Linked DNA regions of Arabidopsis thaliana. The protein of the gene in region 1 interacts with the protein of each later gene in a pairwise test. Each region holds a gene or a part of one and is shown on either strand. Other genes may lie near its edges.

Evidence for each region.
Region 2: the proteins of AT3G29000 (region 1) and DEG15 interact in a two-hybrid assay, tested with the Arabidopsis thaliana proteins (one study listed by BioGRID).

What each region holds. Positions count from the first base shown.
Region 1 is NC_003074.8:11,003,735-11,007,204, forward strand, and holds AT3G29000 (Calcium-binding EF-hand family protein), read left to right. Parts: upstream 1-1,903; 5' UTR 1,904-2,056; coding exon 2,057-2,641; 3' UTR 2,642-2,780; downstream 2,781-3,470. Other genes in the region: AT3G29010 (Biotin/lipoate A/B protein ligase family), read left to right, coding at 3,211-3,389. UniProt on the Arabidopsis thaliana protein: Potential calcium sensor.
Region 2 is NC_003070.9:9,919,668-9,926,546, reverse strand, and holds DEG15 (protease-like protein), read left to right. Parts: upstream 1-2,058; 5' UTR 2,059-2,199; coding exon 2,200-2,265; intron 2,266-2,378; coding exon 2,379-2,425; intron 2,426-2,517; coding exon 2,518-2,701; intron 2,702-2,796; coding exon 2,797-2,844; intron 2,845-2,933; coding exon 2,934-2,993; intron 2,994-3,187; coding exon 3,188-3,316; intron 3,317-3,466; coding exon 3,467-3,577; intron 3,578-3,661; coding exon 3,662-3,765; intron 3,766-3,881; coding exon 3,882-3,967; intron 3,968-4,058; coding exon 4,059-4,153; intron 4,154-4,238; coding exon 4,239-4,905; intron 4,906-5,102; coding exon 5,103-5,295; intron 5,296-5,435; coding exon 5,436-5,527; intron 5,528-5,626; coding exon 5,627-5,874; 3' UTR 5,875-6,328; downstream 6,329-6,879.

The DNA.
Region 1 (3,470 bases):
TAAACATGGGAAATAGATATTGGATTAGCAATAGACTATTAAATTTTTTTGAGTACATAAATGTAATTTCTAATTACTGTGTAAGCAACATTGTTTTTCTGCAACCACTACTTCCGCATACCAAAAAGCATTCAACATAAAAGGTTTCCATGAAAACTAATATAGGCTGTGGTAATGATTTAAACATCCAAAAGGATTCAGAAAAGAAAACAACAATAAGGATGAAAGCTTAACGAAATTTGCTTCAAAATACTTAAATAAATATCTTTGGGTCGACTGTGTAAGCAGCATTAAGAATGGGTTTACCCATAATTTGTCCAGATAAAATCGTCACTCTAATGTCAAATCTCTATAATAGAACCCATCTAAAACTCTTCTATTGAGTTGTTTGATTTTTCAACCCATTGTTTACAATCTCATGTAATTTATTTTACCACTTTGTGTAGGTTTGTTTAACTAAGTTCTTTACATGCATCTATCATCAAAACGTGCTGGTACATAGCTAACCAATCCATATATTTATGCTTAATTTCTGTTAGTTTTTAATAGTTAGTTATCCGGTAATTTAGTGTGAATGTTTTTAATTGCTACTATAAAATATGTTACATCAATTATTCTAAAATATAGCTTCTTTTTCTTTTTTTTTTAATATAAAACTTCATTGATCGATCCCTAACTATTGATGGTACTCTTCGTCTCGTTGTCACTTTTCGGATCAATCGATCTACGACTACTGGTCACCAACACATTTTGATCTACAAACTCCTGATCGATCGTTTTAGGCCAAACAAGTCCAATAACGCATCAAAACATCCAAATCTCTCACAAACACCTAGTATATGTAATAGACTCAAATTAAAACAAGAGAAAAAAAAACGTAAAAAAAACTGCAATACGACAAATGATTCAAACGAAAACTAAACGAAAGACTTAAGACACCAAAAAACAAAACATATTAGAACTATTCAAAAGAAAATACTTTAATAAATCATAAAATTTCAGAACTGGAACAACCAAAACCGAACCAAAATTTAAAAAAAAATCTAATAGCTGGAACCGAATGAAACCGAATCAGAACCGATAGCAATACTCGAACGCCCAGCCATACTTTTTGTATAAGAACTCAGATAAATGATGGATTTAAAGCATTCTAAGTTTTAAGAAAAAAAATGATGGTTATAACAATATTGACATATAAAAAAAAAAAAACGCCAGCCGTCAATTAGAGTTTTGAAATCGCAATAATAATGTTATGCATGAATAGGAATTAGGTTCACATTCTTTTTGTATTTGATCTGTTAATATCATGGCCGATATAGATTGAACATTTTATCTAAAATACTATTATATTTGACCATGAAATCATGTTGTTCATTACCACTACAACGTTTACAACCATATTTTCACTAATCACTAGTTGAATTCATATATCTAATTTGAGAAACAAAATATTTCAAAAATAAAATAATTTTATAGATGATCCACTTATGTATTTTCAATTTGTCTATGTATTTTAACTAAACTAATTAAATCAGTATAATAAGCATACATTTAATTTCATGCAACCCGCGATTTCTAACCTAGTTATCATCTAACTACGTTCATAAGCCCAGTCAAATTAGGATTGAAATAAATGTACAAAAAGTCAAAAAGTCTTCAGTCAATTCAAAGTCTTGGTCTCTCAAGTTTTCCATTTAATAAATAAGATATTTGAATTCGAAATAACAAAAGTCTATATTATTTAACACAATAATATATCCAACCAATGAAGACATACAAAATATCTTAGTTATTAATAACTAAATAAATAAAAAACACGTCAAGCCGACCAAACTTTCCTCCAAATAAGACCAAAAAAACTCTTAACAATTCCAACAACGTTAAGAAGAAACTAAAGAAACTTCCTATTTCCAATTTCTTTTCAAACAAGGACTCTGTCTTTTGTCTCTACTTGCCCTACCACTTTCCTTGCACCAACACTTGAAAATCTCAAATCTTGTATATATATCAACAAACAAACACAAATTCTATATATCATTCATAACAAAACATAACCATGGAGTCGAAATCTTCTTCTTCTTCTCTACCTTTGTTTGCTCTGTTCAATTTTTTCCTCATAAGTTTTTGCAGATGGGTTTCTTCTACACGTATCTTTTTATCAAGATTCGTCCCTCTTCTTCAACATCATCAACGCGTTTTCGACAAAAAGAACAACAAAGACCAACAAGAGACTTTGACCAAACAAGAAGATGATGATGATGATGATGATGATGATGATGATGATGATGATGATGATATTGATATTTCTAGAGAAGAGGCAGAGATGGTTATGAGAAGCTTAGGGCTTTTTTACAACGATGATCAGCTTCAAGAACAATACAGTGCAAAAGAAGTCTCGAGTTTGTTCGAAGAGAAAGAAGCGAGTTTGGAAGAAGTCAAACAAGCTTTTGATGTGTTTGACGAAAACAAAGATGGTTTCATTGATGCTATAGAGTTACAGAGAGTTTTGACAATCTTAGGGTTTAAACAAGGATCTTACTTAGACAATTGTTTGGTAATGATTAGGTCATTAGATGGGAACAAAGATGGAAAAATCGATTTTAACGAGTTTGTTAAATTCATGGAGACTAGCTTTTATTGAACCAAAAAGTTTTGTAATGACATTCATTCTTTAATCTAATGTTAATACTTCATTAAACCATGTCTCTTTGTGGTATTTAATCGAACACTTTCCATGCACAAAGTGTTTTCGTGTGTTTAAGATAAAAACTAATCAGATAATTAATTCTCTAATCATATATGCTTGATTCCTAAACTGGGTATCAATCTATTCATAAATCTAATAACTATCGATCTTTATAAAACACATTCTCTTTGTGGCATTACATCGAACACCTTGCGCGCATAAGGGTTTTTTCGAGAAACCGATAAAGCTTCTGGTCAAGCTAGAGGCTTTCACAGCTGTAATACAGAATTCTCCAGTTCCATTGAAGTCGGAGATCGTACCGTCACCGGAATCTGATTTCAGGTAAGCTTCTCTTCTTATTGGAATCGAGATTTGATAACACAAATCCGACCAAAGATTCGAAATTTCGAGATTTGTCTGGTTTTAGTGTCCAGGGTCTTTGTGGGTTTTTGAAGAACGAGATTAAAGTTTGGTTATTTGTAGAAATTGAAAAGTCTCTGTTTTGATGAAGGGCTCAGGTTAAGATGAGTTTAAGTAGAGCAAAGGATTTGAGACTTCCGTTGATGAATTTGGTTAGACTTAAAGGTACACCAATTTTGGAGCAACTTCATTTAGAAGAAAGGCTTCTTAGAACATCTTCTGATAATTGGTGCATTGTTAATGATGGAACCAATGTTCCTACCATTGTGATGGGAATGTCAGGGTAAAGAATGAATCATCTTTTCATCAATTCTATTCGAAATCGTTTGCGCAAAATGTTAACTTTTGTGTGTTGTTGTTTATA
Region 2 (6,879 bases), on another chromosome or scaffold:
TTGGCTTACTCCTAAATTTCTGTCTCCTCGCTTGATGGTGAGTTCCGATTGGTATCTGATAAAAAAAAAATTAGAAAGAAACTAAAATGAAATAAAGGAATAGCTTTTATTTGAAAGAATTTTGTTTAACTCTTAAATTATTTTTTCCTTGTTGAAATAAAGTCAAAAGAAAGAATTAATTATATACCTTTTTATTATTATCCCAATTAATGTTATTACGTGTTTCGTTTTGCACCATATATTTTTTTAAAATATGTTAAAATAGCATATCAAATTTTTTACTTAATAATATTTAAGATGTGTTTGAATAGCTAATATATGGTATAAAAATATACAAAAAAACGAATCATTGCATGCATAGCCTACCCTGAAATTTGGGGCCTAAATACGTTTTAAGAGTTTTATAGAAAGTTATAAAATTGGAGGCCTTTTTACAAAAGTAAAATAAAATTGGGGACATATTTTATAAACAAAAAACGTCAGAAATTTTGGATCAATTATGGGATCGGCACAATTAAGTGATGGACATTATAAGATAAAGGCTTTTTTAATAGCTTATGGGATTGAGTACTTATACTGAATTCTCAAGACTGTTTTACCCTCTTCTTCAGAAAAGCTAAAACAAGATCCTTCAAACCAATTAAACAATAAGACATCATGTCTTTTTTTTTTTTTGAACAAAGAGATCATGTCTCTCATATACACTAACAAAAGGAAATCCAAAACCCAGAATTCGAAACATACACAACCAATGAAGAAGAACAACCCGTGATTGTTATCGTTCAAAGAACGCCATAAACATTTCAATCTATCATTTTTTTTCTTTTTTCCCCAAAACCAGGCCAAAGGTTTCATGAATTTGATTTCCAAACTCCAATTTGAGATTTGAAAGTTGCAGTTTGAAGGCCAAATCGACCCGCCTTTGAAATTGATTTCCCCTTTCAAGATCATGTGTTACGAACCGCGACGACGATGGTAAGCTTCATCGACACTAACAATTAGATTCGGTTTCGAATTATAGATGAATTAAAGATTAATTGATTCGATCTGCATCTAAAATTAGAATATTTGGGTTCCCTAAATGTTATCCTCTTAGGGTTTAGATTCCTTGCATTAACAATCGTTTAATTAGTTCCATAGAGTTCATCAGAGGAGGTTGATGAAAGAATTGTATTGTGAGTCGTCGGAAGTGAAGGAAACGATATTGATGGAGTTGAAAGTGGTGATTTTGAAGGAGTGTGGAGTTTAAAAACAGAAGAAGACAAAGTGATATTTCATCAACAAATTGAGGAGAAGATTGTCATTTCACAAACAAAAAAAATTCCCTTTTTATAAGCCCAACTAAAATGTGTCTATTTTAGAGTTTCTGGCCCAAAATATGCTTATATCTATAAAAGCCCCCAAAAATTTTAGGGGCCATAACAAATGCTTCATCTGGTTATGCTCATGACCGGTCCTGTTTACATGCTATGTAATATATGAACTAGTGTGCACGTTGACGGACTTCCCTAAGTATCGATACACTTTTTCCAAGTCATACATAATAGAGAACACTGGAAAACAAGTTAGCTCATACAACAAACCGAAGTTTGTAAGTATTTCATGATAAGTTTACCATAATTTTTCTCCGACGATCTAAGCTCTATCTTCTTTTTGGGATGGGCGATCGAACCTCGGTGGCTAATACTACTCGAATCCAGGTGGTGGAGACTTTTCTCTCTTGTACTACCGGACTTGGTTTCAAAGAGTTTTTTTTTTTTTCAAACATGTACTGATATAAAGTTTCTCAAAAACCAATATTAGATTAAGAAAATTTATTCATGTAGCTTACAAGAGAAAAAAAATATACTGCAAAAATATGAAACACTAATCAAAACAAAAGGTATAATAATTGTAGTTGAACTGAAATATTTTTAATAGTGGTAACCAAACGAGTTCTGAAAGAAATTGAAGACCGAACCATATCACATTATCACCTAATTACCGTTTGGTTCGGAGAACCGAACCGAACCCACCCGAAGACTTCAATTGCCCAATCCTAGCCAAACCGTAGCCGCCATTTCCGTGAATGTTGTGATTAGCTTATTATTATCTTCGTTGCCCAAAAACTTAAAAGATCCAAACTTCGAACAATTTTGGTGTCTGCTATACAGAATCCAAATCCACCTTCTCCGATTAAAAATCCCTTCTCTTTCGATCATGGATGTGTCTAAAGTTGTCAGCTTTTCCCGGAATTTCGCCGTCTTGGTCAAAGTCGAAGGCCCTGTAAGCCCTGATCTCTCTTTACCCAATTCTTGTTTTGAGATTCTATCCATAAATTTATCTACTTTACACATGATCGAGTACAAAGTGTTAATCATACTTGGTTTCAATTTTAGGATCCAAAGGGATTGAAGATGAGGAAGCATGCTTTTCATCAATACCAGTGAGCACAAGATGACTTTTTTTACATGTATTATATGCTTTAGTTTTGTTTCTATCATGGAACTTAATGTGGCTGTAATTTTGTTATTGAAGTTCTGGCAATGCAACACTTTCAGCTTCTGGGATCTTGCTTCCAAGAGATATTTTTTTGAGTGGTGAGGTCGCTGCTAAGGTTCTGTTTGAAGCTGGTCAGGACATGGCCCTGGTTTTGACCGTTGCATCTGTTGTTGAGCCATTCTTAACATTAGGTCACAGAACTAGTAGTAGTATCTCTCAGGTTAGATACACATGCTCCACTTCAATATCAATGATACATGTTTTTGCTTGATGTGCTACTTCTTCAATCTTGATGTCTGTTTTTTTTTTGTAAAGGATCCGGTGAAGCTTATTCCGGGTGCTATGATTGAGATTATGGTGGAGGTATACAGATAGTGTTTATGAATAGTTTATGTTGAATGGTAAGTTGTTTGGAGTTTTTAAGGTGTGATCTAGATGCGTATTCTTTTCAGGGTCAGCTAAAGTCAGAAAAGGAAGCTCCTTTTTGGGTTCCTGCGCAACTTCTTTCGCTGGTACGGATGCAATTCCTCTTCTTTCTTGCTATTAGAAGTGACTGTTGATACCTCCCTGTGGTGATGATTTATGAAGCCACTAAATTGAGTTTACAAGATGTGTGATATGCACTTCTTATGGCATATGTTGTAGCTCCCTTTTTATGGCATATAAAATTCTGTTCGCTGCTGATTTTTAACTAATATGTTACAAGGTTGATGTCCCTGTATCTTCTGCTGCACTTCAATCTCTTATTGAAGCTTCTTCTGGTTCGAAAGATTCTGGATGGGATATTGGTTGGTCTTTGGTTTCTGCTGCTAATGGTTCTCAGCCTTCAATCAATGTAAGTCAAATGCAAACCTGTAATACTCTTTGATGGTCTTTGGTTTGAACTCCTACCTGAAATTGCTTGAGTAGTTGATGCGTGTTTGTATTTCCTTCTTTGAAATGAAAGATATCTGTCTATTTCTGAGATTAAGTATCATTTTTCTAGATTGAACATTACAGCAAGCCCTTGATGCAACTTGATGAGCCACACAACGCTAACTTCATGGCCAAGTCTGCCACTCGAATGGCTATTCTAGGAGTCCCCTTAAGTTTACTGGTAAATATTTCCCTGATTTTCCTCCCCGTTTCCTTCTTTCTGATTTATGGTTCATCTTTGTGACGCAAATATTTTGTAAATCAGGGTCAACCAAGCATGAATTTTGCTTCATCAAGTAGCAAGGGTGATACACTTGTAGCACTAGGCTCTCCCTTTGGAATCCTTTCACCTGTTAACTTTTTTAACAGGTGAATTATGGCTACACTAGCGTTACTGTATTTTAATCGACTAGAGGTCATCATGATTTCCTTTCTCTTGATAGTGTCAGCATTTAACTCCGGGAATCTAAACTGGTTTGAAACAGCGTATCAACTGGTTCCATTGCGAATAGCTATCCTTCTGGATCCCTAAAGAAGTCACTGATGATAGCTGATGTTCGATGTCTCCCTGGTATGTACGATTATCAATAGTTCTTATATATGCTCTATTTGTTTCATCTTAAGAGCTAAAACATGTTCCGTTCCGGTTCAATTTCTTTCAGGAATGGAAGGGGCTCCGGTGTTTGCTAAGAATGGGCACTTAATTGGCATTTTGATTAGACCACTAAGGCAAAAGAATAGCGGCGTTGAAATTCAGGTTTGTCAACGGCAGCCTCATTTCCTTTATGTCCATTGAAGTTTTATTGTAATGTTTCATGCAAAACTGTAGCCTTCGGTAGCAGCTGGTGGTTCCATGGGGAGCAATCACAACTGCTTGCAGCCACTTGCTGCTTGAGGAACCATCTGTAGAAGGAAAAGCAAGTCAGTGGGGGAGCGAAGTCCTAAGTGTTAAATCAGATGCTAGTATTCCTGCACAAGTGGCTATTGAGAAGGCGATGGAATCAGTTTGTCTTATTACGGTCAATGATGGTGTTTGGGCTTCTGGTATTATTCTTAACGAACATGGTCTCATACTAACAAATGCTCACCTGCTTGAGCCGTGGAGGTATGGAAAAGGTGGTGTATATGGTGAAGGATTTAAACCCTATGTCTTAGGAGCCGAGGAATTTTCTTCCACGGGAAGTAAATTTTGGGAACAGAAGAGTCAAACATTGCCACGGAAAGCTCCACGAAATCATTATTCGTCTGTTGGAGAGAACATCAGGGAATACAAACACAATTTCCTTCAGACTGGGCATAGAGACATACGTGTGCGTTTGTGTCACCTAGATTCTTGGACTTGGTGTCCTGCAAACGTGGTCTATATTTGCAAGGAACAATTAGATATTGCCTTACTGCAGCTAGAATATGTCCCTGGAAAGCTCCAACCTATTACTGCCAATTTTTCTTCTCCTCCTTTGGGTACAACAGCGCATGTTGTTGGACATGGACTCTTCGGACCAAGATGTGGTAAAGACTCCGTTAATCCTAGAATTGTCTTGTTGAATCAGATTTTTGCTCAATTCTTGCTTATGTTGTGCTTCCATAATCTTGCATAGATTTCTTTGCACACCCTGAAATTACATTCTCTTGTGCCTTACATGTGCCAAGTGTCCTTAAATGGAAGAAATAAATGATCCTCTCTATTCTTCTGTGTTTGTTATTAGGGCTTTCTCCTTCTATTTGTTCTGGAGTTGTAGCAAAGGTAGTTCACGCAAAGAGGAGATTGAATACGCAATCCATTTCTCAAGAAGTCGCAGAGTTCCCCGCTATGCTCGAAACAACAGCTGCTGTGCATCCTGGTGGCAGTGGTGGTGCTGTTCTCAATTCAAGTGGCCATATGATTGGACTTGTTACCAGGTAACCGAAAATCATTCTCAAATACAATACGTAGGTCTTTTAGATCCATTGATGAGATGTGTCATTAGAAACGGACAGTTCTTCTTTAATCATGATGATATGTAGTTGATTGTTCATTGCTATGTTTTCTGTATCTGCAGCAACGCAAGACATGGAGCGGGGACTGTTATACCGCATCTCAACTTCAGCATCCCATGTGCAGTCTTGGCACCAATCTTCAAGTTTGCAGAAGGTTTGTCTAATCTTGTTGGTTTGTTTCACTTATGGAAGCAGAATAGAGAGTAGATGTGTCAAAAAGTGTTTGCTTATTATTGTTCCCGTCTTAAAACAGATATGCAGAACACAACGATCCTTCAAACACTTGATCAACCTAGCGAAGAACTCTCATCCATTTGGGCTTTGATGCCATCACTATCACCAAAGACTGAGCAGTCTCTACCCAATCTGCCTAAGTTACTCAAAGATGGTAATAACAAACAAACGAAAGGATCTCAGTTTGCCAAGTTCATTGCAGAGACCCAAGACATGTTTGTAAAGCCGACCAAGCTTTCCCGTGATGTGATCCCTAGCAAGTTATGACAAGATTGGCTTCTTTGCAGAATTTGTGCCTTCTTTTACTCCTTTTGCTGGAGTGGCAACTTTAACTTTTGTATAGATAGAGAAATTACAAAATGTTGCTGCTGTTTCTGGATTATTCTGTTTGTAACATATATAAAACCTTATAATACGTTTTGGCAACTCTGTTTATCAGTCTTCAAACTGTGGTTCTGTTTTTCTTTGGTAGCCTTTTTACCTCTCGTCTCCTCATATGAGAGCAGCTAGTGTTTCTACACATTATATGTCGTCCATTGTTCATGCCATATCTCAGTGATTGCAGGCAAATACCAAGCACTAATACCTTATGGAGTAACATGTTCGTAGATCATACAAATTTTCATGATATACGAATTTTACTGGCTTTTTTTTGTGATAGTCCACATTCTTGTATACGTATTTTGTTTTGAAGATATTGCGTTGTTTGAATATATTTGGGCAACTTCGTGTTATTTGAAACTATGTATAAAAAGTTTCGTCACTTTTTTTGTATATATTAAAGATAATATCCTTGCTAGTTTAATCTGATAACCTTATGTAAAACTATTCTCAACAACATCATTCTCTTCTTTGTCTTGTATTCGCAAGGTCTTGGATAAAAACAAAACAAAACATTCTTTTTCTTTTTTTGGTATAATAACTGGATATGCTTACTTTAATATTGATTGTGATGCAAAGGAATCGAAATCAACTGCCAATCAAACTGTGAGAACACTATCGACCAAAACAACAAAATATGAAAAGAAAAACACATTAACCTTCTTTGGCAAAAGCAAGTATTTCCAAGAAAAAGAGTAATCTGGAGAAGGCAAAGTAACATCGAAATTCGAGAAAATAGAACGAAATTCAGAGGAACAAACAAAAAAAACAAATTAACAATAATCTGACAAAAATGAAATAAAGAAGAGAATTTTTACAGTAATTAATTAGAGAATAGAACTTTAGGGGAGAAGAGAAAATCCCTTGGAGTTATACAAAATTCGTTAGTTT